Oreochromis niloticus: one gene and its partners. The protein of the gene in region 3 purifies or fractionates together with the protein of the main gene of each other region. This does not show direct contact. Links are inferred from orthologs where the notes say so. Each region holds a gene or a part of one and is shown on either strand. Other genes may lie near its edges. The genes, in order: mrtfab, myocd and srfb.

What was found.
Region 1: the proteins of srfb (region 3) and mrtfab purify together in Homo sapiens (affinity purification with western blotting; 4 studies listed by BioGRID and IntAct, with this or other methods). This does not show direct contact. The link is inferred for Oreochromis niloticus from reciprocal best matches to the Homo sapiens genes SRF and MRTFA.
Region 2: the proteins of srfb (region 3) and myocd purify together in Homo sapiens (affinity purification with western blotting; 3 studies listed by BioGRID and IntAct, with this or other methods). This does not show direct contact. The link is inferred for Oreochromis niloticus from reciprocal best matches to the Homo sapiens genes SRF and MYOCD.

Annotation. Positions count from the first base shown.
Region 1 is NC_031973.2:22,380,054-22,387,430, reverse strand, and holds the start of mrtfab (myocardin related transcription factor Ab), read left to right. Parts: upstream 1-4,342; 5' UTR 4,343-4,610; intron 4,611-4,692; exon of another isoform or gene 4,693-5,176; intron 5,177-5,259; 5' UTR 5,260-5,321; intron 5,322-7,377. UniProt on the Homo sapiens protein: Transcription coactivator that associates with the serum response factor (SRF) transcription factor to control expression of genes regulating the cytoskeleton during development, morphogenesis and cell migration.
Region 2 is NC_031973.2:26,309,369-26,317,287, forward strand, and holds the start of myocd (myocardin), read right to left. Parts: upstream 3,021-7,919; 5' UTR 2,933-3,020; intron 1-2,932. UniProt on the Homo sapiens protein: Smooth muscle cells (SM) and cardiac muscle cells-specific transcriptional factor which uses the canonical single or multiple CArG boxes DNA sequence. Acts as a cofactor of serum response factor (SRF) with the potential to modulate SRF-target genes.
Region 3 is NC_031978.2:24,478,265-24,485,327, forward strand, and holds the start of srfb (serum response factor b), read left to right. Parts: upstream 1-3,959; 5' UTR 3,960-4,441; coding exon 4,442-5,092; intron 5,093-7,063. Other genes in the region: ptk7b (inactive tyrosine-protein kinase 7), read left to right, coding at 1-100, 189-349. UniProt on the Homo sapiens protein: SRF is a transcription factor that binds to the serum response element (SRE), a short sequence of dyad symmetry located 300 bp to the 5' of the site of transcription initiation of some genes (such as FOS).

The DNA of each region.
Region 1 (7,377 bases), on a different chromosome or scaffold from region 3:
CATGCAACTCTTTAGTTTTTCTACATGTGGCGCTGCAAACCGTGCCGTGCATCAGCAAAGGCAGGCATCGCAGAGACTGGAGGATGATTTTCAAACGATCTCATCAGAACTGGCGACACAGATCAGGTGTCTATGTTGTGAATTTGTAACGTAATATACTGAGTTCTTCACCTGTAAATACAGACCTCATTGTCTGGTACGCGAATGACTTGGCATTTACTGTAAAAGTCCGTTTCGAAAGTCTGTTTTCGAATTTGCATGTGTACTGTGGAATAACATTTGTGCTTCTCCTCTTGCTGTTTAGCTTTGCTGATTTTGTATTCAGAGAGGATATGAAAATGAGAAATGCTACAGAGCAAAGAGCAAACAGATTTCCAAGAAGTGTGTACGTGTTATACAGTTTTAAAAGAAATACATACAAATAAATGTAGACTTACAATAGGTGAAGGTTAAGAACTTGATGAAAAATGGAGGAGCTGAACCTGAGGCACAGGTAAAAATGAAAGACTGAGAAATGTTTGAGAGAAGGAGGGAGGCAGAGGAAGCGGCAGCCTCCTCTGCTCTACAGTTGCCCAAACACTTCTTATTCTTGTGAATCCAGCTCCACAAACCTTAACTGTCATCTTTCTCTTTCTTGTTCAACTCCTTTTCTTTATATTTTTTCTTTTTATTACTATGAATTCTTTTATCTTTTTTTCTTGTGCTCCACCTCCATCTGTTCCATCTCCCTTATTTTGAAAACCCTGGAGCATTTTGGGGATGTTCTTTCTTAAACAGCATTCCTGCAGCTCCTAATTCTTCTGCTCCAGGTTTTCTTTCTCCTTTTCAATTACTTCTTGTCATACTTTGCCGTACTTTCCCTGCCCTTTGTTATACATATGTAGAAGTATTCCTTCTTCTTCTGCCTCTTTTTACTCCTTTACTATTTTTTTAGTCTGGTCTTCATATTTTTGCTGCAGTTCCTTATACTTTTGTCCCACTTCTTTTTTCAGATGCAGTACTTCTTCTATCTTCCAGAAGTTTTTGGACTAACACATTCACGGTCTTCAACCTTTGCTGTAACAAATCCCCCTCTGTGTTTTATATGTATGCTTTGGATCACTATCTGCTTGGCCAAATAGCTGCATTTTGCAGAAGGTATTTTGGCAGACGTTTAGGTAAATATTTCAATGTACTGCATAGGTGATGGAGCATAGGTGACGACACATTAACAGACAGCAACAACTGTATGCTGCAATGGCGGATGATATCCACGGCTTTTTCATTGGCAAGACAAATGTCATTTTGAAACGGGTACACCTTAATATGACAAAATGGTTCATAATGAAGTAATCAGAGACAGGCTGGTTGTAGGGCTCGCTGATATACACACCAGCACATGTAACTGGATGAGGATCTCGTGCTAATCAGTAACAGTAAAACAACAACAGAGTGACTTATGTAGGAATACTGTGTGAAAAAGAGAGACATGCTTGGTAGGTAGAGTAATGAGCAGAGTCAAACAGACTTCTTTGTTTTTGTCTTTCAGAGACAAAAACAAGTTAGGGAAATAAACACAACTGTGGACATGTAGAGACAAGCAGAGTGTTACAAATGTGGGGAAATTCCATTATAAGCCAAAGAGTAAAGTGTAAAACATGCAATATTATAAAAGAGTGTGTGCTTCATTAAGAGCTGGTGCAAGAAAAAGATGGAAGCATATTCATTGGGAGCATAACAGGAAAAGGAGATCCACTGACTGTGGATCTAAAGCCCAAGGACAGGACTATCACATTTAAAATTGACACTGATGCTGATATGACTGTCATTCCTGACCTGATTCAATGTGATGTTCATAGATGTGAAACCAACTCTTGAGAAAGAAAAGAAGCCCATAAGGTGGTATACCACTGAGCATCCTACGGTTCACAAACTTAACACTACAAAAAGAAGAAAAACCAATAGGTTTTACATCTTTGTGATCAGTAACCGGCACTCTCCTGCTCAGGGCTAGTGGACTCAGCTAGTCGCTAGTGGCTAACAGACCCAAGTCATGAAAATGTATCAGGACGGATGGCTAGAGAGCAGATCATTAAAGTTTGGTAAAGCTGCACTATGCAGATGCCTGCTTTATTTTGCATGATGGCCTCTAGTTAAAAAGGGCATAAGTGGTCATTCCTGCAGCTTTAAGAAACGGTGTCCTCAGCAGGCTACATGAGGGGTAGCTAAATGCATGCGGAACATGCGTGTGAGCCAAAAGGAGCCATTGCTCCCAACAGATCTCCTGGAGAGACCCTGGAAGGAGGTGAGGGCAGACCTGTTTACACTCAAATGGAAAATGTACTTGCTGTTAGTGGAGTGTTACTCGAGCTATGTTGAAATGGCCAACCTCCACCACATAAAGTTTGCTGATGTCACTGTCAATCTGAAATCAGGGTGCCTGAGATCTTAAGGACTGGCAATGGGCCACAGCTCTCAGCGGGTGTCACAACGTTTTCTGATACATACAGTTTCAAACATGTGAGCAGCAGTGCACAGTTCCCACAAACCAATGGGGAGGCTAAACAGGCTGTTTAAAAAAGACCAGATCAGTACTTCTGCATATCTTGTCGTCCCACTTAAAAATGTGTTTCAGCCCAGCTCAACGTCTGATTTGGTGCCAGCTTGGTTCCACTGTGCTGACCCAGCAGTGCTTCCCGACAGCGCAGCGGTCATCGTAAAGGAGAAAGGACAGAATGAATTCACATCAGAGATTCTTCAACAGGCATCACTGTGCACAGGAGTTCAGTTATCCCCCTACGTGGGAACAGGCGTGGTTGAACTGCACTCTAGTTCCTTCCCTACAAAAACCAACACCCGGACCTTTTCCAAATAGCACCACAGTCATAACTAAGTCAGGCAGAGCAGTTTTGAAACCACAGGACTGGACTGAACTTGTAAACAACTGCGCAAACAGAGATTATCCTTAGTTTGAAAGCTACTGCATTATGATGAAACTTGGGCTGTTGCTGGGCTGTTGGGGTAAAAAGTTTGTTATCTTCAAAAGAAACAAAAGAGCAAAGCTGCGTTCAAGTTAAGAATCTATTCAACAGTAACTAAATCCAAAGTGAAAGATTTTATTTCCTCCTTAAAAAGGGAGCTGGTGTGATGTTGGTTATGTAAGGAGGCCCAGAGGATTCTGGGTAATGTTGTTTTTATTGTAGTAGGGGGCTCCAGTTCTAGTAGTCTCACATTCAGAATCAGAATCAGAAAGACTTAATTAAGCTAGAACAGAGCAGCATGACGTTGAAGATAAGGACAGGGCATTAACAGGCAATACGAGTGAGATAATAAATACACAGAATATACAGTTTATACACAGTTTTAAATACACAGGAATTAAGGGAGCCTTATACAGTGAAGACCTATAAAATATAACTCAAGACTCTGAATCAACTTCATACATGAAGTCTGCTTCATTTGTCAGGAAATAACAGAACAGTCCTCACTTTTCCATGAAACTGAAGTACCTGTCGTTCAATTATGAACCTCTGAATGTCAAAGGCTGGAGATACACAATACACAATGAAGGTAAAGCTGAAGAACTTAAAATCCATCCGGGGCCCCTGATTGAAGGGTGTCTCCTGGCCGGGTGGATATCTAAGGAGCAACCTGATTGATCCTGCCAGTAGCATGTGCTTGTCTCAGTGATTAAACTGTGCATGTCTAAGTACACGTGGTGATTACAGTGAAACTGTGAATGGTGCATGAAATCCCTTATGGTTCCTTTGATCGCTCAGCCATTATTTGAATAACAATGGTAATCCGAGGGCTAATAAGTATAAAGTATAAGGGAAAGCTAGATAGAAACCCAGACTTAGAAATCTAAGTGCACCAAGATAATTAAACAGAAAATCTGGGGCTATGTATAAAAATGGACCTTATATTATTTTTATTTGGTTTGCAGAAAAAGCTTTACCATAAAATAAAACACTGATTATTCTACAAATATAAATCCAAATAATCTGAATCAATAACTACATTACATACATCAATAAATATTTTTTTTATTTACTTTTATCTAAACGCATCTCTGTTTGTCTTTCAGACTAAGAATTGGTATGTCAGTTTGGCTTTGTTTATTAAAAATCACATAAAAGATACATTATTGGATTAAGAATATTACAAAGAAAAAAAGATTGTAGCATTGCAAACTTCAGACCGAAGTGAAAATCACATAGAAAAACGCGCTTCTTTATTTTAGAGATATAAATATAACGCTAATACCTGTAGCTCCGTGTGTCCTGAAGTACACGCAGTTGAACACTAGAGGGAGACAGAGACTGCGCATGTGTGACAGAAACAGTTCTCAGAAGTGCAAACACACTCTCCACTTCAAGTTAAACAGCATACCTATTTTTGTGGCGAGGGCAGTGTTTTAAAGGGATATGCGGACAAAGCTCCGCTCTTTTATCTCCTGTTACCGAAGCGGGCTGAACCCGTGGGAACGGCGTAGCGAAGGAAGTGGGTCTCTGCGTCCCACGCAGAGGAGGGTTTTCCGGTCAAAGTTTCCTTTGTGATTCGGGGGTGGCGCTGTGATGCCAAAGGCGTTTATCCTCACAGACACAACACACAAGTGGCGAACATTATGAGTAAGCATAAAAATACAAATTCATGGTTTGGAGTTAGAGCAGCATCTTGATTTCTATTCAGCGAGAGTAACAGCGTGGCAGATAACTGATCGTAGGCGTTAGCACTTAGAGGTGATGTTGTTATGGCATGCTAACGGTTGCTAGCTAACTTGGGGTGTCTGTGTCTGCAGTCAGCAGGGGAGCCGAAGAGTTTTCAGCTGAAGCCGGTGTCAGCGTTAAATACTTTATTGTTGTATTTGATAGCGTTTCACGTTCAGTGTGGCGCGTGTGTCCGCTTTTCTATAGCAGCCCGACTTTGGCTCGCGTATTGAATGTTTAGGTTCACTCCCACCCAGACAGGCTAACAATAGCTTAGCATGCCTGTGTGTTTTGGACAGTGACAGCTGCAGGCTGCGGCCCCATGACATCTGTGGAAAGGCCTCCTGAAACGTGGATTTCTTTAGCCCATCTTATCAGTTGTCATGAGTCTTTTTTCAAAACGTCTTTTACTATTGTAGATCTTTTTTCTTTTCTTTTTTTTTCCTGCACATGCCCTGGTTACTGTGATACAGCTGCTCAGCATCATAGTACGTACAAGTAGTGGATCAGAAGAGCAAAGGGGTATAACAGACTATTTGTACTGAAGCTTTGCTCTTATTTTGTTTTACAGGACCGTTCAAAGCTCTGTCCTCCTGAAATGGGAAAACCCCCCTTCCAGATTTTGTAACACAGGTAAGCAACAAGCCTTGTTCACATCTGGCCTAGTTTATGATAAGCCAGGTTGCAACCACATCCTTTTACCTGTTTGCTGGGGAACTGAAAAGCTCTTGTAATTCTTGGTAGCTGGTTTCCTGTGACTGATGGTGAAACAGCCCTGGCTGTCAGGACGTGTGTGCCTCGCAGTGTGTACCAGTGTAATGATGATGCATATCTGAAAGGCTAGTGTGGGCGTGTAGGGAGGAATGCTTCCAGTGTGTTTCAGCATTTGAATGTACTATTCAGCAGAATAGCACATTATGCATGTTTGAACAGCAGCTGTTTGCTGGGGAAAGTAGGGATGAGGCAACTGTGAAGATCTGTCATCCTTCATTCGTGATTTGGAGGTTAATTTAATGTGTGACACTTGATATTTAGGTCACTGGCTTTATTGTATTAAGCTAGCTTTTGTGTGAGGCCTCGACAAAAGCTGCAGACATAACGCCTCGCAGTTTTTCTCACCTGTTGTCGAGGAGATAGGCATCTCAGCGTGGTGTGCTGAAACAAAGATCACACATCAGATTGAAGAAGCAAGTGCATGCATTATCTTGCGTGTCTCATCGTGTTGGCTTACGCTGTTATTGAGCTCATGTAGATATAGCACTAAATAATTTCTTTATACAACTATTTAGTCTCAATTATTGATTTAATGTTATTTTAGCAAGGTTTTCTGAGCCTTTCTAAACCAGTTTTCTGATTTGTTTTCTCTGGGTGAGCAGTCAGGCGGTCTAACTAGACTAGTTTTGGCTGTTGTCATCTGTAAAATGATTCCAAATCTCTTGTGTGATCAGGTCAAAAAGTCATTGTTAAATATCAGGTGACTTTGACAGCTGGACAGAATGGTGAAAAAATGCTTATGCAGTTTGATTTCTGTCTGTAACATGTATACGCACTGATACAGGGTTATTTGGACCAGCTATATAATTTGTTTAAATAATTGTCATCTTATTAAATCATATTAAATTATAACATTTTGCTAATTTTTAGCTGTATTTTATTAGGTCTGTCATTGACTAGTAATGAGAGAATCTGGTTTATAATTTGTAAAAGTGGGTTGTGTTAGCCTGTGAGAGACCGGTGACCTGTTTTTCACCCTTTCACAGCTGCGTTAGACCCTAAAATGAGATGGATGGATGCTCTGTATAAGGTGCAGATACTTACTGAGTAAAAGCCTTGTGCCAGATAAATGACTGAACAATATGTTTAGTTGTTTCTTTAGAGAATCTCTTGTCCATGTGTCGAACCCCCGACTCTAGCATCTTGGACAGCAGCTGCCAGCGTGAACTCGCTCAGATGGATGAAAAAGTAAATTAAAGTCTATTTGTGAGGAAACTCAGCCCCAGAGATCAGAGAAGACTGATTTTTAATCCAGTTTTAACGACTCAAAATTATTATTTTCCATAAAAAGTAACACTATTTACCTACATTCTGATAGGTTCACAATTTTTTTTATCTCTCTGCTTTAATTGACTTAAAAATAACATTTGTCTTCTATCAACTGCTATCTAAGTGTTTTATGTTTGTCGCGATCAAACGTGCAGTGATCCAGTGAGATCAAGAGAAACTTTAGTGTCGTGCGGTTAGTGTGTCGCTATTCAGACGTGTGAGCTTGTGTTTGATTGTGAGAGAAAGAGAGGAGCAGCATCTCAGACAACACTGCCTCATTGTTTGCAGCCCCGCTGTGCAGTAATGACAGAATCCCCATCAGAACCCCACAGCTAGAAAACACATATTTGCAGAGAGCGCAAGAGGGAAATCAGCACACAGCACAGCGGCAGGTCCTGCCTTTGTAAACAACCATTAGCGAGTAGCTGTCAAAAGTTACCGGGCCTGCTCAGTCCAGAGGAGTGTTTGAGAAAGGAACCAGTTACACCAGGCTTGTGCCAGTAAATCAGGAAAATCTCTTCCATGACATGGTTTTGAATGGTTTGACTATTCACAGGAAGGTTAGCCTTCAGGCTTCGCTTCTTCACACGCTTAACCAGTTTGCGGTATAAATGTACCTGCCAGTCAGAAAGCAACAGCAATTTTA
Region 2 (7,919 bases), on a different chromosome or scaffold from region 3:
TGTGTGTGTGTGTGTGTGTGTGTGTGTGTGTGTGTGTGTGTGTCTGTGTGTAAGCTGCGTGCGTGTGTGTGTGTGTGTGTGTGCAGGGAGAGTAGAGATAACGCTGGGGAGTTAGGTGGCTGGCTTTAAATTTCTTTTTACCATACATGAAATCCACAAACACCATGCAGCCAGGGGGAACTTAAGAGATGGAGATGAGCCTCGAGGTGCAGCTGATGAATGCACAAGACCAGCCAAGCAACATAAAAAGAGATCTGTGTAGCCATTGAAGTGAATTTCAAGCAGTTGTTTCTAATTAGGTCCGGCTCCTGGGATCATCCCAGAAGATACGTTCCTCCTGAACGTCTCTGCTTCTATAAACAATCCTCCTTTGCTTCTTGAGCTGACTGGGCCTCAGACCTGGACCCCAACATTCACCTAAGCCAATATGTCTACACAGACTCACTGCTCGACTTACTTTTGACTAATAATAATCAGATTTGGAATATTTGTCCAGTCCATTTTGGACATTTTAAATTCTGTACATCAGCATTTAAAGGTGTATTCAAATGGAATCTATTTCTCTTAGATGAATTATACCATTACCTTCCTTTGTTGGCTGTTTTAATGCAATCCAGAGTGTACTGGTAACTTTTAATCACATCCATAAATTTGAAAGGTAACAAAGGTATTTTTGCCAGAATAACGATCTTTTTCATTTCTTTTCATTTTTAAGTTCACCAGCATTTATCGGCTCATTATAAATTTACCTGTTTTAAACATGATTTTTTTTTAATGGTATTTGCACACTTGTGACAAATACATCAGCTGAAATAAATTAAAGCTAGGAAGGCTTCTTACTGTCCCAGGTTTAGCCATCGCTTGTGTCCATTATATAAAATTTGTTCCCATTATATGAGGTGAGCTTCCTCTTGTTAACTACGTTGCCCAACATGTGTGATGTAGACAACATGGGGTTTGAAAAAGCTGGTAATAACTCAACATTAGCAAGGAAAGCTCTGACAATGTTGAAGAAGGGACAGCAGCTCTGATCAGTTTAATAAAACAGGCAAGTTGACCAGATGCAGGCTCTGCAACACTTTCAAATTAGCATCTATGAGAATGGCTGAATGTAATAAGTTTAACCAACTGCTTTGCCAATACTTCACATTTATTGCTCATTCATATTTAATCCCCCCTTGTAGATATGAAAAGTTAAACATGTCACACAGTGTTCTTTTAATTTAACAGATTTGGTTTTGTTATTAATATATTATATATATATTTTATAATATAATATTTTAATATACTTTAAAAAAATAAAGATGTAGGCCTTTTTTTCTGAGCTCATGAATAACAGTTGTTTGTTTAATTGTTTAATATGCAATTTTTTTCAAAAGGTTTAAAAATCCGAAAATAAAAAATAATATTATAATAAAAAAATAAATAAAAGCCTGAGATACAGTTATTACTGAAAATCCATTTATTCAGTTTGATTATTGAACTTTAATTGTTTTTTCTTCTTTGTTTTTTTTTTGGGGGGGGGTTGTTTGTTTGTTTGTTTGTTTGTTTGTTTTTTGGTAAAATCTGGTTTTAAAGATGTTGATGCTACAAAAATACTACACTGGAAGGTTTTCCATCCAGTTAATTCAGTTATTTGTTGTTAGTGTTTATTTTCTCTTTGTCTTTATTATTATACTCTTACACACGTACATACAAGTGTGTATATATATATTGCTGTTGTTCTTGTTTTTTTTTTAAAGTTAATAATGACCAAAACAAAGAACTCTAATTGTTTTGAAGGTAGTCGCCATCTTGGTTGCGTACAGCCAAAATTCAGTTTCTGCTGAAATTGAGCAGAAAGATGGAGCTGATACCCGTAAAGGCATCTCGCATGCCATTCTTCACTTTTATTTGATTAATTCATGGAAGTTTTTCTGTCCATATAATTGTTGTTGAAATAGCATTAGCTAGGGGAGAGCTAACAGCTAAAATGTGTAATTTTTTTTTTTAGCTTATTTTTATTTATATTTTTAGCAACATGATATTAACAACAAGGGCAATTATAAAATTTTCTCCTCACCTCTGTCTGGACAATGTTAAGATTAGCATACATTTTATTTATATTACCTGCAGACCATCTTCTAATGGTTTGACCTGGATGGTTGATATCCACTTCTTGCAATATTTTTAGTTGTAGATTTACTTCCTCTTTGTTTTCCTTAAATAGGTAACATCAGCTAACATTAAAGCTGGAAAGTTACAGAAAGACATGAATCTATCATTGCTTTTTTTTTTTCAATTCTATGTTTTAGTTCTTGGTTAGTTCATTTTATCTCATTTTATGTAATGGCAACAAAGATAATCAAGCAGTATTTTACTTTAGTTCAGGAAGGCCTGTGAAGCATATGTTGGTGCTCAGTTGATTTTCTCATAGTTTCTTTAGTTTCAGCATTACCATCTTCTCCATGACTAATAACTGAACTTATAATTGCCTGTACCGTTACAACAAGTTCATCTTTGCATCCTCACTTTAAATGCCTGCTGAGGTTATTATCTTTTTTTCGCTCCATCAGACGCTTACAGTTATGAATCTTAACTCCATGCCTTTGAAGCCAGTATCACAATGCATACTTTAGTGAAGAATCTTCATCCTTTTCTATCATACTTTGATCACAAAGTAGGAGTGAGACACAAAAACTGTTAAAAGAACTTGAATTTGGACGAGTCAAGCAGAGGACAGGTGAAGTTTGCAATTCTTTCTGAATGACACAGCACAATATTATTTCACTGTTATTTATGCTTTAGCTTTGTTATTCCAGATTGCTTCGCTTTATAAAACTTGAGTCCTGAATAAAAGGAAGCCAGATATTTTCAGAATGCTAATTCTCTTATAAATTAGCTTTACTATGCGCCAAACAAAGACGATGAGAAGATATATTGCATAACTCACACTGACTTGTCGGTGGAGGTTTGATACAGCGGCGGGGTAATCCTGATCCACCAAAGGGGTTGTCCTCACCCGGCCCTGTTGCTGCTCCACATGTACTTCGACCGCATGTGTGTTTGTGTGTGAAGCAACGTGTTCTCTCCTCCCAGCAGTCTGAAGCTCTCTTTAGAGCTATTTATAATCAGGGCTCTTGTTTGCAGACTGGGTTGTTACCTCTGCAAGCTTATCTCTGAGTTATTTGATAGAGTAGTGAGGTCATTGGATAAAAGCGATTTCTATAAAGCAATCGTACAACAACTGGAAATTAATGCGTTCCAGTAGCCTAATTAGTTCAATCACTTAGACTGAAAGACTGCTTTATTTTCAAAACTATCCTCCCCGTGCTTGTGTCATCACATTTACACGACATGAAACTCAATTCAAGCTTTGATGTTTATCATAATTATAATTTTCTGTTTACACCTACAAGTGTTAAACTGTTCATCTTCATGTTCACGACTGGTAAACTGGACCAAATAATGACACGTGTCGGAGCTTGGTGTTCCCATGGTTACAACATGATCAAATCTGAAGGTAAATACAGTACACCCCAAGCTGACTTTAACTTTGACAGATCAGAATTAAATGTGCATCAGTTTTCTTCAGTTTGGATTTTTTGTATGGAAAGAACTCCACTAGATTTCATGTGTCTTTTTTCTAACTGCTTTAGTGGTGCAAGTTCAACCAAAATCGAGTTAAACAATTAAAAGATGCTGTGGAAAACTGGAGTACCAGTACTGCTAGCCATTTGGCACATGGGTTGTACAAAATATCCACCAGTACAGCTTCAAAAGTGGGAGTTAAAGCCGGTTTGTATATCCAAAGCACATTTGACTACAGCCTTATATTTTAGATGAATCTCTGTTCGCATAGGTTTTATTGTGATAGACTATTTTGCTTTGTATTTTTATAGGGTTTATAATTCTTTGTATTTCATTTTCTGCATATTTAGTGAACATTATTATTGTGGGGCATTTGAAAATTAACAAGCCCAAAAGCCTTGACACAATAGCCACACTTTAACTACAGTTGGACACTTGTCCAAAGTGTATCTCTTCACATAACTGTATGATCACACAGTATAGCCAAGTTTCTGCCATGTCAATTCTCTTTCTCATCAGTTTGACAGACAGTCCAGCTCCTGGGAAAAGTGGCATTGCGGCTGAATGGAAAGCATTAAGAGCTTTCAGCGACGCCCCAAGGCAGGCTCATATGATACCCTGTAAGAGAGGGGCTAATATTTTACAGTCAGCTTGGTATTTACCAGAAGCTTGTAGCGTTTACCGCAGATCAAGACCAAAGTATCAAAACATTCAGAGGATGAGCGATGAACCTGCCTCTCAGCTGTCTTCCGTCTATTACAGACAAGGGGTTCAGTTGTTGGTCATGAACAGAGAACAGAGAAAAATGCACCATGTCAAAGTTTGGGGGGTAAAAGTTAGACGCCAAACATGACGTCGATGTTAGGCATCTAAAATGTGACACCGAAGAACTCATAGCTTGTGAGGCACAGCCGTGACGTAATCCATGATACATAGCAATAAAATGTAGAAAATCCTCTTTTGTAAAACATGAGAGGGAGAAGTTAGACTGTTTGATTGATGGAATTGTTACAGAGTCTACTTAACAAACCTCTAAATTTAGATCTGATTTCGTATCCCTGTTCTGAGCATGAATTTCTGGCCTCCAACCCAGGCATTACCTCAGCCATGGAGCTTTGAGTGAGTGCGGTGTGCTTGAAGACTGGGCAGAAAGGCTGCTGTCATCCAGTCGTAATAGCAACTATTGGTATGTTGAACCGAGCCCAGCCTGGAGTGTAATGGCAAAACAAGCACAATTGTTCACATCCAGATATATTATTCCTGCTGCTGCAAACTGAAAACATGCTCATGTTTGTGCCGGGCCTCTTCACGCAGGGAGGTAATGAGGGCCAGAGGGGCCAGGTGGTCTGGGTTTCCTCAAAGCTTTCACTCGTATACCTTTATTTGCATTTTGACAAATGTTCCCGTTGTGAATAATCACAGTGCATCAAGTCCACCTTATGAGCTGTAGGCTGATGTAAGAGAAGAAAGAAAGAGGAGAAGATGACATGCACCTCTGCTGAGCTCTGGCCTTCCTTGGGATTAAGGAAGTACTTCATTTGCATTAGAAAAACATAAATTCGTTGTCAAGGCCAGTTGTTCAGCATGTAACATGGATAAACTCAATGAGCTTGGGCTGGATATAAACATGAGTGATCAATTTGTCACATAACTCCAGCGCAGTGTGTATTTACTCCTTTCACATACCAGACTGCTTTAAGCTGCTGTCTACATGTTATTTGAAACAGGCTGCTTTTAGTAATGTACGTAAAAAAGAAGTATTAATGATATTTGAACTCTTTTACTTCTTCAAAGTGCTAATGAGCAGCTTAGCGTCTTTCAGCCTGCTGTCTTATTTTTAAGGCCCTTAGCTTTTTTCTTTAGCTGTCTTTATCTTAATTTGCTGCTTTTTCTTTGCAAATGGCAAAAATGCAAAGTTAACAACTATTCGGTAAAAGCAGCTGTGCATTTACCAGTTTAAGAAAGATGCATTCAGGAGTTGGTGTATATATTGTATTCACTGGGTCATTTACAGTGACACACTCCAAGTCAGTACAATGATGACTAAATGCTAGATGATAAAAGATTAACTGCATGAACATATTCCAGTACCACCTTTACAACTTTACCTTTTCTTTGGTGCCATCATTTCTAACAACAACTCTAACTTGTGTTTACTATACTAAGGGACGTGTCTGATTATGGTTGGTTCTATACAGAGGACCAATACAAAAGCATAAAAAAAGGCATATAAAATGCTGACTTAATCTAAGATGCCCATTTTGGGGACTTGGGAGGAATTTAATCAGGAAGGCAATGGGGGCAATTCCACACAATGAGGCCCCAAAACCAGGAGCTCCCAACCCAGCTTCTCGCTGTGAGCTAACTAAGTACTCCTAACCACTACACCAGTGCAAGTATGTGCAGCTTCTGCAGAGAAGTAGCATGCTTAACGTGACTGTTTGTGAGGACGTGAGCTGTGAGGATAAATAAAATCTGCTGAATAATTTGATTTGGAGGTTGTAACTATTTTTGCATTTTGAACTGAGAGACAGAATAAAAGCTGTCTCTGCATTCCCAGATCTTAGCGGTTCCTTTCATGAGTACAGTGTTACAATAACTGATGGAAAGGTTGGCCAAAACTGTGTAAATAAGACTAAATATATGATAAATCACAAATTTATTTTAACTTTGTGGATTTGGAGCTCTGATGTTCCTCCTTACAATGACTGAACCATATAACCATAAGTTCAACCCAAACCCACTAACTAAACACATATGCCTCCATGGTCTGCATTAATATCTTCAGCAGGGACTGTAACCACCTCGTAAATGACATTGGCAGCACAGGCAAGGACATAAGTGAATTTCCAAGTTTAAAAAAAAATCATACCAGAGTAGAAGGACTGTATTTAAGACGACTGTTTTCTGATTTTCTTTTTCAGTTTAATCCCACCCTTCTTGTGGCCCCTTCAAGGAAATGTGCTCCAAACGCTGCTCTGACCTCTTTTTGTTGAACATCTATTAATGTTGCATTGAATCCTCCTTTGAAAAATGTGCTTCTGTTAAAATGAAGGAGCACAGAAAATGGCTCGCTTAATTCGAATGTAAAATATTAATATATACAGATCAATGAAAACATGATGTGAACATTTCTTTTCCAGGCATGAAATAAGATTTAGGAATGTGGTAATTAAAGCACTGTCAACGTCAATGATTTTCTCCATATGAGGTCTTGTTCTGAAAAACATGACACTGTATTTCACACTTTAAATGGCATGAAAGAATTCACCGGCAACATGTAAGGAGACGTCATGTTTATGTTAAGGGTATTTCTTTCCGCAACCTGTGCAATGTGCACATTTCAAGCTGTTTCGTTTCAATAATCTCACGAGTGAATTTTGAGCAAAACAAAGAGAAAAGCGGCATCTTTTATTTATAGAAGACTTGCAAACATGCTGATCGCATGTTACGCAAATGACATGAATATTTCATGACATAACTCGTATAATGAGCGTTCAAAACAGATTTCATCACACTTCGTGGCCTGAGTCGCAGATGGAACAGAAGAGGCGGAGTGCGATACCCGCAACAGGCATGACTTTCAAAATAAGCACACTGTTTTCCTTTGAAATGAGGTTTAGGGCTCAAAGAGCAGTGAAAGGATTTCTGCTGGGTTATCTATCATTAATACTGCTATCAATACAGTCCACCAGATGATTACTCACTCGAATTTCACCGATAATACCGAAAGAAAAAAAGATCAGTTACTAATGAATTAGATTAATGTTTTAGCTGAGAATTTATGTGACGCAGTCTTGTTGGGTTGTTCTGTTTTATAACATTCACTTGACCTTTCACCATATGCTCGAGTAGCTGCAAAGCTCCACGGGAAATTGAAAGTCAAAATGGTAGGAATTCATCCACATGCTGTCAAACATTTTTGCACAAATTTTCCAGCAAAATATCCAAAATACATGAAAGCACACAGTGATTCCATGAACCCCCAAAGCCCAAACTCTTATCTGGTTTTAAGATTGATTTTGGCCTTCAAAGTCCTGACATCAAACAGGGAGAAAATAGGATTTCATCTCCCAAGCTTTCACCTGCGTGTGTAAACAACGTCCAGGAGTGTCTTTAATACATCAAATGAAGTTTGATGCATATTCTCTTGCAGCCAACATAAACATTACGCTGTTGCTTTTAAATCTAGGAGGACATCTTGGGACAGCCAGCCAGGGCTTAGCGATTACAAGAGAAACTAATTTATGATTCCTTTCTTGTCTGACTTGGTAGGCTAGTTTCAGGAGTGAGGAGAAACACTGCAAAGGTTTCAGCCAGCTGGTCATTACAGCTAGTGTTTCTTCACA
Region 3 (7,063 bases):
ACCAAGTCGGACGTGTGGGCCTTCGGAGTGTTGATGTGGGAAGTATTCAGTCATGGGGAAATGCCATACACCAAACTGAGCGACGACGAAGTGTTAGAAGGTGAGTTTGATGCTGCAACACATTACTGTCTTTACCCCAGGAAGAGGGGATCGCTCTTTAAAAGGCATCTCATCCCATTTTTCTGCAGGTCTGCAGGCAGGAAAGCTGAAGCTACCCCTTCCGGACGGATGCCCCTCTAAAATCTACAAGCTGATGGTGCGCTGCTGGGCGCTGAGCCTCAAAGAGCGCCCCTCGTTCACCGACATCGTCCACGCCCTGGGAGAGCTGCCTTCTGACAGCAAAGTCTGAAGTGACCAATCATCTCACAGCAGAAAGGAACTGTTACCAACTCTGCCCCGCCCCCCTTCCCCTAAAATACAGACAGGAATGCTGGATTATTTAGTCTCACACATTTCAGGGAAGAGGGTTGAGGGGGAAGAAAAAAGAAAAAAAAAAACTTTAATTTTTTATGCATTTCAACAATTTTTTGAGTGTGGATTAGACTTGTTTGCTATATGAGTGGAACTGCACTCACCTTTGTATGAATGGCTTCGTGCGAGCAGTGCCAGGAGTTTGCCTTCACTGCAGCACGGACGATCCTCCCCCACCTCCAGCCTGTGGTTCCACTGTGACCCCGCCCGTCTGCGGCCGTTTTCGTTTCACGGAGCCTCACAACCTCAGTGCCTCTGCCCCTCCACACACACACGCACACACTCACGCACTCTCTAACTTTGTAGGAATGATGGTGCATTCGCTGGCTCTGATTAGTGCGAAGGATTTGCCTGAAATGTCACGTCACCACTTAACTCCTTGGAGTTTTCTCATTAATCTAAAGAGGATATTGAAGAGAAAGTGGGGCACAGTGGGACTGCAGTGGAGCAATGAAGCCTCTGTAGATAATCAGCCACTTTACGAGTGTGCCGAGTGAGGTCGTTTAAACTGGTCTGTTCCCCTCGCAATTACATCGAGCTGCATCCTGAGTCCGCCACCCTGACCCCTCAGATGTCTGCTCTCTCTCCACCGGGTACAATCCCTCAAATTGTTTGCTTTTGTGTGTTTGAGTGAGTGTGTGTGTGTACATGCACTGAACTGTTGTCCCTACAGACAGATAAGGAATGGGGGTTTGCATGAAGGTTTGTGGAAAACAAGTAATCCGTGTTACGGTAACACTTCAGGAACAACAGCAACAAAGAAACAAGTTTTATAGCCAAGGAACATGTTGAACAGATGAGATCGTGCCAGTGTGGGCTTTATACATTTTTATAAGTGTGCTCTGTTTGTCTGTTAACTTTGAGGTGCTTACAGGTCACTGCTGATGGGTAGGAGTACTCATTTTTACCACACAAACACCATTGTGTCCTCTCAGCTGCAGGAATTGAACCCGCCGCCACGTTTGACCTGCTTTATTCTCTCCAGAGGTCCAATCACAGTTTCTCTCCTGGTCCACCTGTTTTGTGCAATGCTGCGAAGCGGACCATCACACCAGGCAGTGTGTACATAATGTTAGAAGCCTTGCACTAACTTCACTTAAAAGATTATCCTTTTTATATATATATATATATATCATGTTGTGTAGAAGGACATGCAGGTGCCTGGTTATTTATGATGAAGGTCCTGTTTTTTTTTAAACTGTAATAGAAAGGTACTTCTGTGAGGTAGTTTATGCTATGTATTCATTCTCACGGTCCATCTCGGTGTGCGTTCAGTCTGGTAACCGTCTGGATACGCTAACACAAAGTACAAAGGAGGTCAAAAGAGTGACCGCAGGTCACCAGTGCTCGTTTAAGTGCCTAGTAAATGAAGGATTATCTTAACCGTTTCCCTTTTTGTTTGTTGTTGTTTTTACATCATCTAATCAAATGCGATGGCCTTTGTTTATGAACCTGTTTTTATACGTTGTTTTTAGTGTAATATTTTGTTTTTATGAATGCTAGGCACTCACAACTAGACCTCTTTTTCTTTTTTTTAATCTGCTTCAGCACATGTTCACAGTAATCACAGATATATACAAAAGCATACATGCTGCTGTCAATAAAGGTTCACAGTGTTTTTACCCAGTTTGTTGTGACAGTTACTTTAACTTCTTAATATTTTCAGGTCAGTGTTTATGCTGAGGCTGTAACAAATATTTGAAAAAAAAAAAATGTGGTAATTCAGCTGTAACAAGTTCACCCAAATAAGGTGTTTGATTTGTGAGAAGTAAATGCCTCGTTTGTGTATTCAAGCGAAAATATGTTGTAAATCGTGGAGCTGGTGGCTTCTTCACTGATACAAGAGTGTTGTGTGACACTCTCTTCTTGCAGCCTGCATTACAACAAAATATGAGGTTAAGAATAAGTGATGAAATCTTCAATGAGGTGGATTGCTTATCTCTCGCAAGTCTCTACAAGTTATATACACACACAGATCATTAAAGTGTGTGTGGTAGTGGTGGGGGCGGGAGGAGGGGTGTGTGTGTGGAAGCAGAACTAGAAGTATTTGTACTTTATAGTGTTGGGCTGTAGTTTGTTAAACCACTTGTATGACCTTGTAAAAGTACATCCAGCACTACTTTTTTCTTTATCCAAATAAAAAGTCTCTGTTGTAGCCACTAGAGGGCGCTGTGCGGTTAGGTAAGGATTAAACCTGACCCTTGAGGCTTGCCAAACATTTTTTCCCCATTATAATTTGTTTACAGTTTAATGTGGTAACTAGCTTTTAAAGAAGTTTCCTCAATGGGTCTACGTGCTCAGTGAGTTTTAGCACTTCCTCAGTCGTTATGGGTCTCCTCCAAACTTTGAGCACTGTGCACTCTGTGTGTGTGTGTGTGTGTGTGTGTGTGTGTGCGCGCGCGTGTGTGTGTGTGTGTGTGTTGGGGGGGGACTTCGCTTGAGATTTGCACACAGCACCGTGCGCATGTCACTTTTTGGGCCTCGTTCGGTGCGCGTGACATGCCGAGAAGCAACACTGAATAGAAATGAGTCTGTTAACGCAATAAATGTCTTTCCACTGCGGTGATATTATAACAATTTTCCGAGTAAATCTGCGTTTCACCGAACTTTCGATTTTGTAGTTCACTTGCAATAAAAATCCCCTGAGCATCCTGCCACTGAACCATCTTCAAATGCCTCAAAACTCTGGCGTTTGTTTTAACTTGCCCGTAAGACCAGGTGGGTGGAGGTTGTTCCATCGTTTCAAACAGCACACCTAAGTGCCTCTGACTGATTTCCCTCTGATACTTTTTTTTTCTTTTAAATGAATACGGATTACACGTTTCAAAGAAAGCCTAATGATGAATGACATCAGTTTAAGCTGGTTTGTCCTTGCTGTCAGGTCTACTTGTAGAGGAGGAAGCCATCTCTGACGACACTGGTAACACATTTTACTAAGAGGGCTGGAATTGGTGCAAAGGTGAACAAGATGAAGCAAACAGACAGAGAATGCACCTTGCTTAACAGTGGCGTTATTAAAAAGTTGGTAGGAAGCAGCAGGCTTCATACTCAAGGGAACTTGCTTATTACAGTTACATTCCCTGTGCAAGTCGGTGTGCGATAATCTGGCACCTTAAATTATCTCATATTGCTGAATTATCTACAGTAACAGTGCTGCACACATGCGCTTCAGATAAAAGGAGATTATATAGTTCAACTTCCGGGAAAATGGGAGTTTGCTGTGTGTTATAGGCGCTACAACCTGTGGGTAATTAAGATAAATAAATAAAATAAAAGTTGGATGTTTTGTTATGTTGGTGCCTCTTTACTTCTCCACGGTGACGTTGTCAGTTAGCGCAACCATTTTGGTATTTATTCTAATGAGTGTGCTTCGCTGACCAATGACAGCACTACTCAGATAATCCTCAACCAATCCGTACACGACGCTGTGACTCACCAAATAAGGAGAGACAGCACCAAATAAGGAAACATTGTATCTCTTTATAAGGAGGGAAGTAGTTCCTCGGCTGAGGTATTACTCCGCTATCGCTTGCGCTGTCTTAAATTTTGAGGTTTATGTTCGTTTGTGACACGCGGAAAGAGAAATACTGTAACATTATCTGAGAGAAACTTCGACTTGTGTGCGAGCAAATCGACACTAGAGCTATTTTCGGTTCACAGGGCGGACTAGGTGACGTGGCGCAACAATATGGAGGTCGCTCTTCGCGCTTTCCTTTTTGAGAAAGTGCTCAGAGTTTTGGAAATAGAGGAGGAGGGTGAAGCAAACTGAGCCGGGGTTGAAGGGTCTTGGGGGCAGCATCACTTTCGAAAGTTTGTCTCGGTAATTTCCTGGAGTCTCTGAACCATCATTTGGTCGGGTTTGTTTACATATCGTGGCCCGGACGTGTATGCGTTTTATCAGTCATTTACGAGGCAACCGAATCCAGCTTTCTTGGCTGGTGTTTAAAAAACTCGCTCCAGTAAATATATAATGTTACCGAGCCAGGTTGGATCGGCACCATCTGGAAACGGCTCGGGTTCAGGCAGGGGTACAACACAACACGGCTCGGGGTTGGTCGGCAGCGGGATTCGTCCCGTTCTTGTCAGATCAGGGCAAGCTCTACCGGGGGTCAGCGAGAGTACCGGTGCTGCAGGGCGACAGGGGGACAGAGATACCATTGGGATGCTGGGAGCTAATGGTCCAGGGGGTCCGAGAGGTGCGAGGCCGGGGAACGGGACCGGTGTAAACCCTCTTCAGACTTCCGTTCAAAGCAGCATGGTGGGCTTAAGTCCAGGAGTCATGTTGCCTCACGGAGCCCGCTTCGATCCGGACCGGGAGAGTGCGCCTCTGTGCAGCGGCTCAGATAACGACTCGGACTCCGGAGATGATGACGAACCCGTGGGTTCACTTGGGGACAGCAGGAGAGGGGTGAAGCGGGAGAGAGGGGAGATGGAGGCTGCGGTGTCGGGACAGGAGGTAGGAGTATCGCCCGGAGGTTACAGCATGGTGCCCGGAGGGGTCGCCGGGGCAAAACCGGGCAAGAAGACACGTGGACGCGTAAAGATAAAGATGGAATTTATTGACAACAAGCTGAGACGGTACACCACATTCAGCAAGAGGAAGACGGGCATAATGAAGAAGGTGAGTCAGGTGATGCGTCTGGATCTCATCCAGCTGCGCCAGCGTTTGATTTGAGAGTCTCTTTTAGCTGTTGATTGGCCTGGAAGTACAGCAGTGTCACACTGTAGGGTGCTTTGCAGTCATTCATGGAAGTGCACTTGTTAATAACCTTTAAAAAAAAAAAAATCACAGCACCCTGGGACAGTGTGCATCTGTTATTACAATAACCACAAGAAAGACTTTGGGTTTGTTTTTGGGTTGTTGTTTTTTTTTTCATGTGAGCCTACATGCTGCTGACCTGATGTCAGTCTTGTGTCAGTGTATTTCTTATGAAAGACAAAGCCATTGTGGTCCAGAAGTGACTCAGTGGATGTGAGGAAGTCAGAACATTCATGACAGCCACTGGGCTTTAAATAGAATAGAGCAAATGACAGGTCTATTTATGACACCCCCAATCTCAACTATCACACACAGAAACTTATAAACTGACCCACTCATTCATGCATGCATACCTGCACACATACCCCCACACACCTTCACAGACATCCTTGCAACTATTAGATGTTGTTCTCATCACAAGTCACAGCCTGTTCCCTCTGTCACTGCTTACAGGCGGCAGCCATGTGGCAGTAAGCAGCAGTCGGCCTGTATGTGCCAACAGCTAACAAAACCCCAGGGAAACGGACCAAAGAACGGTCAAAGAACACTGAGACAGAAGCGAGAAGCCTGGGTTGTGTGGTAGTGGGGGGGTGCTGTCTGTCTGTGCATGCATTATGGTGCTGTACATTACACAGACGTCCAAGTCTCACTGATGACTTGTCCTGGTTTCCACTTTTGTCAGTTGACTCTGGCTCATAAGCAGGCGACATTAAAGATGACAAAGCTTGCTTCTCAGTCATAACTGCTCCCATTACTGTCTCCTTAAAGCAACATTTCTGAGGAAATTCACAGCTCACCCACACGATTTGATGCCACAATAAAACACCACAGTTTGGTATAGAGTCACGGAGAGTGGATTACTTGAGCTGGGGTCAGCTGTTGACCACAAGCCCAGCAGTTATTGTGATGTGGACTCGGCCACTTTTCATTATGACTTTAAATAAACACTTGTAAGCGGTGCTTTATTGGAGTCCAGGAGTTTTTTTCTCTTTCCTTTAACTTGTCCCTGTGTTTCTTCGATACGGCTGCACCATGCGCTCTGCTGTGTTTCTCTCTTTTTATGTATCCCAGACTGTTGTCGTGGAAACTGAGGTGTCTTTATGTAGGCTCTTGGCAACATGAACACTATTTGACACAGTGTGGGGATGGTTTTCTTTTCTCTTTTCTTTTTTTTTTTTTTGAAAAGGTTGCCCACACTATGCCAGCCATCACAGAAAATGACAGGTGGGTGGAGTGGGAAGATTCATAGATTGGTCTAGGATGAGCCCACTTTCATTTTGAAGGATGCCGTTAGTGTAGCACAGGCCTGTTTGTTCTCTTCTTATGTGTGCCTCAGCTTGCAGCCAAACACACCCTGTTAAATAATTACGTCAGTTTGAGGTTCAGGGTTACTCAATTAATACTAATATGTGGCATATATGATATGACTTTCTATAGTGGGAAAAGCAGCACAAGTGGTATGAAGAACATTAGGTGTGACTCAGCTCAGGTGCAGTGCTGTGGAATGGCCTCGGCTAAATGGAGCGCGTCCATATATTCATTATGCTATTTCTTACACCTAAAGTTTTTCCTGCTTTGATGAGTTAAATGACGAATCATTCTTTCATTAAATTGAAATGACATTACATTTTTAAAAAGTTGCTTTTGTGCCTTTAAGTAATGACTTCATGAATTTCTTCACAAATAAAATTGTAACCATTGGAGAAATAATAACTTGTCAGCGTCACACACATTACTTGCTCCAAACCATCAACGTCTTTTAGACAGAATTCCTACAAGACTGCTCAAGGAAGGATAAACCTTTATCTATTTATCAGCTATGTACCACAGGCC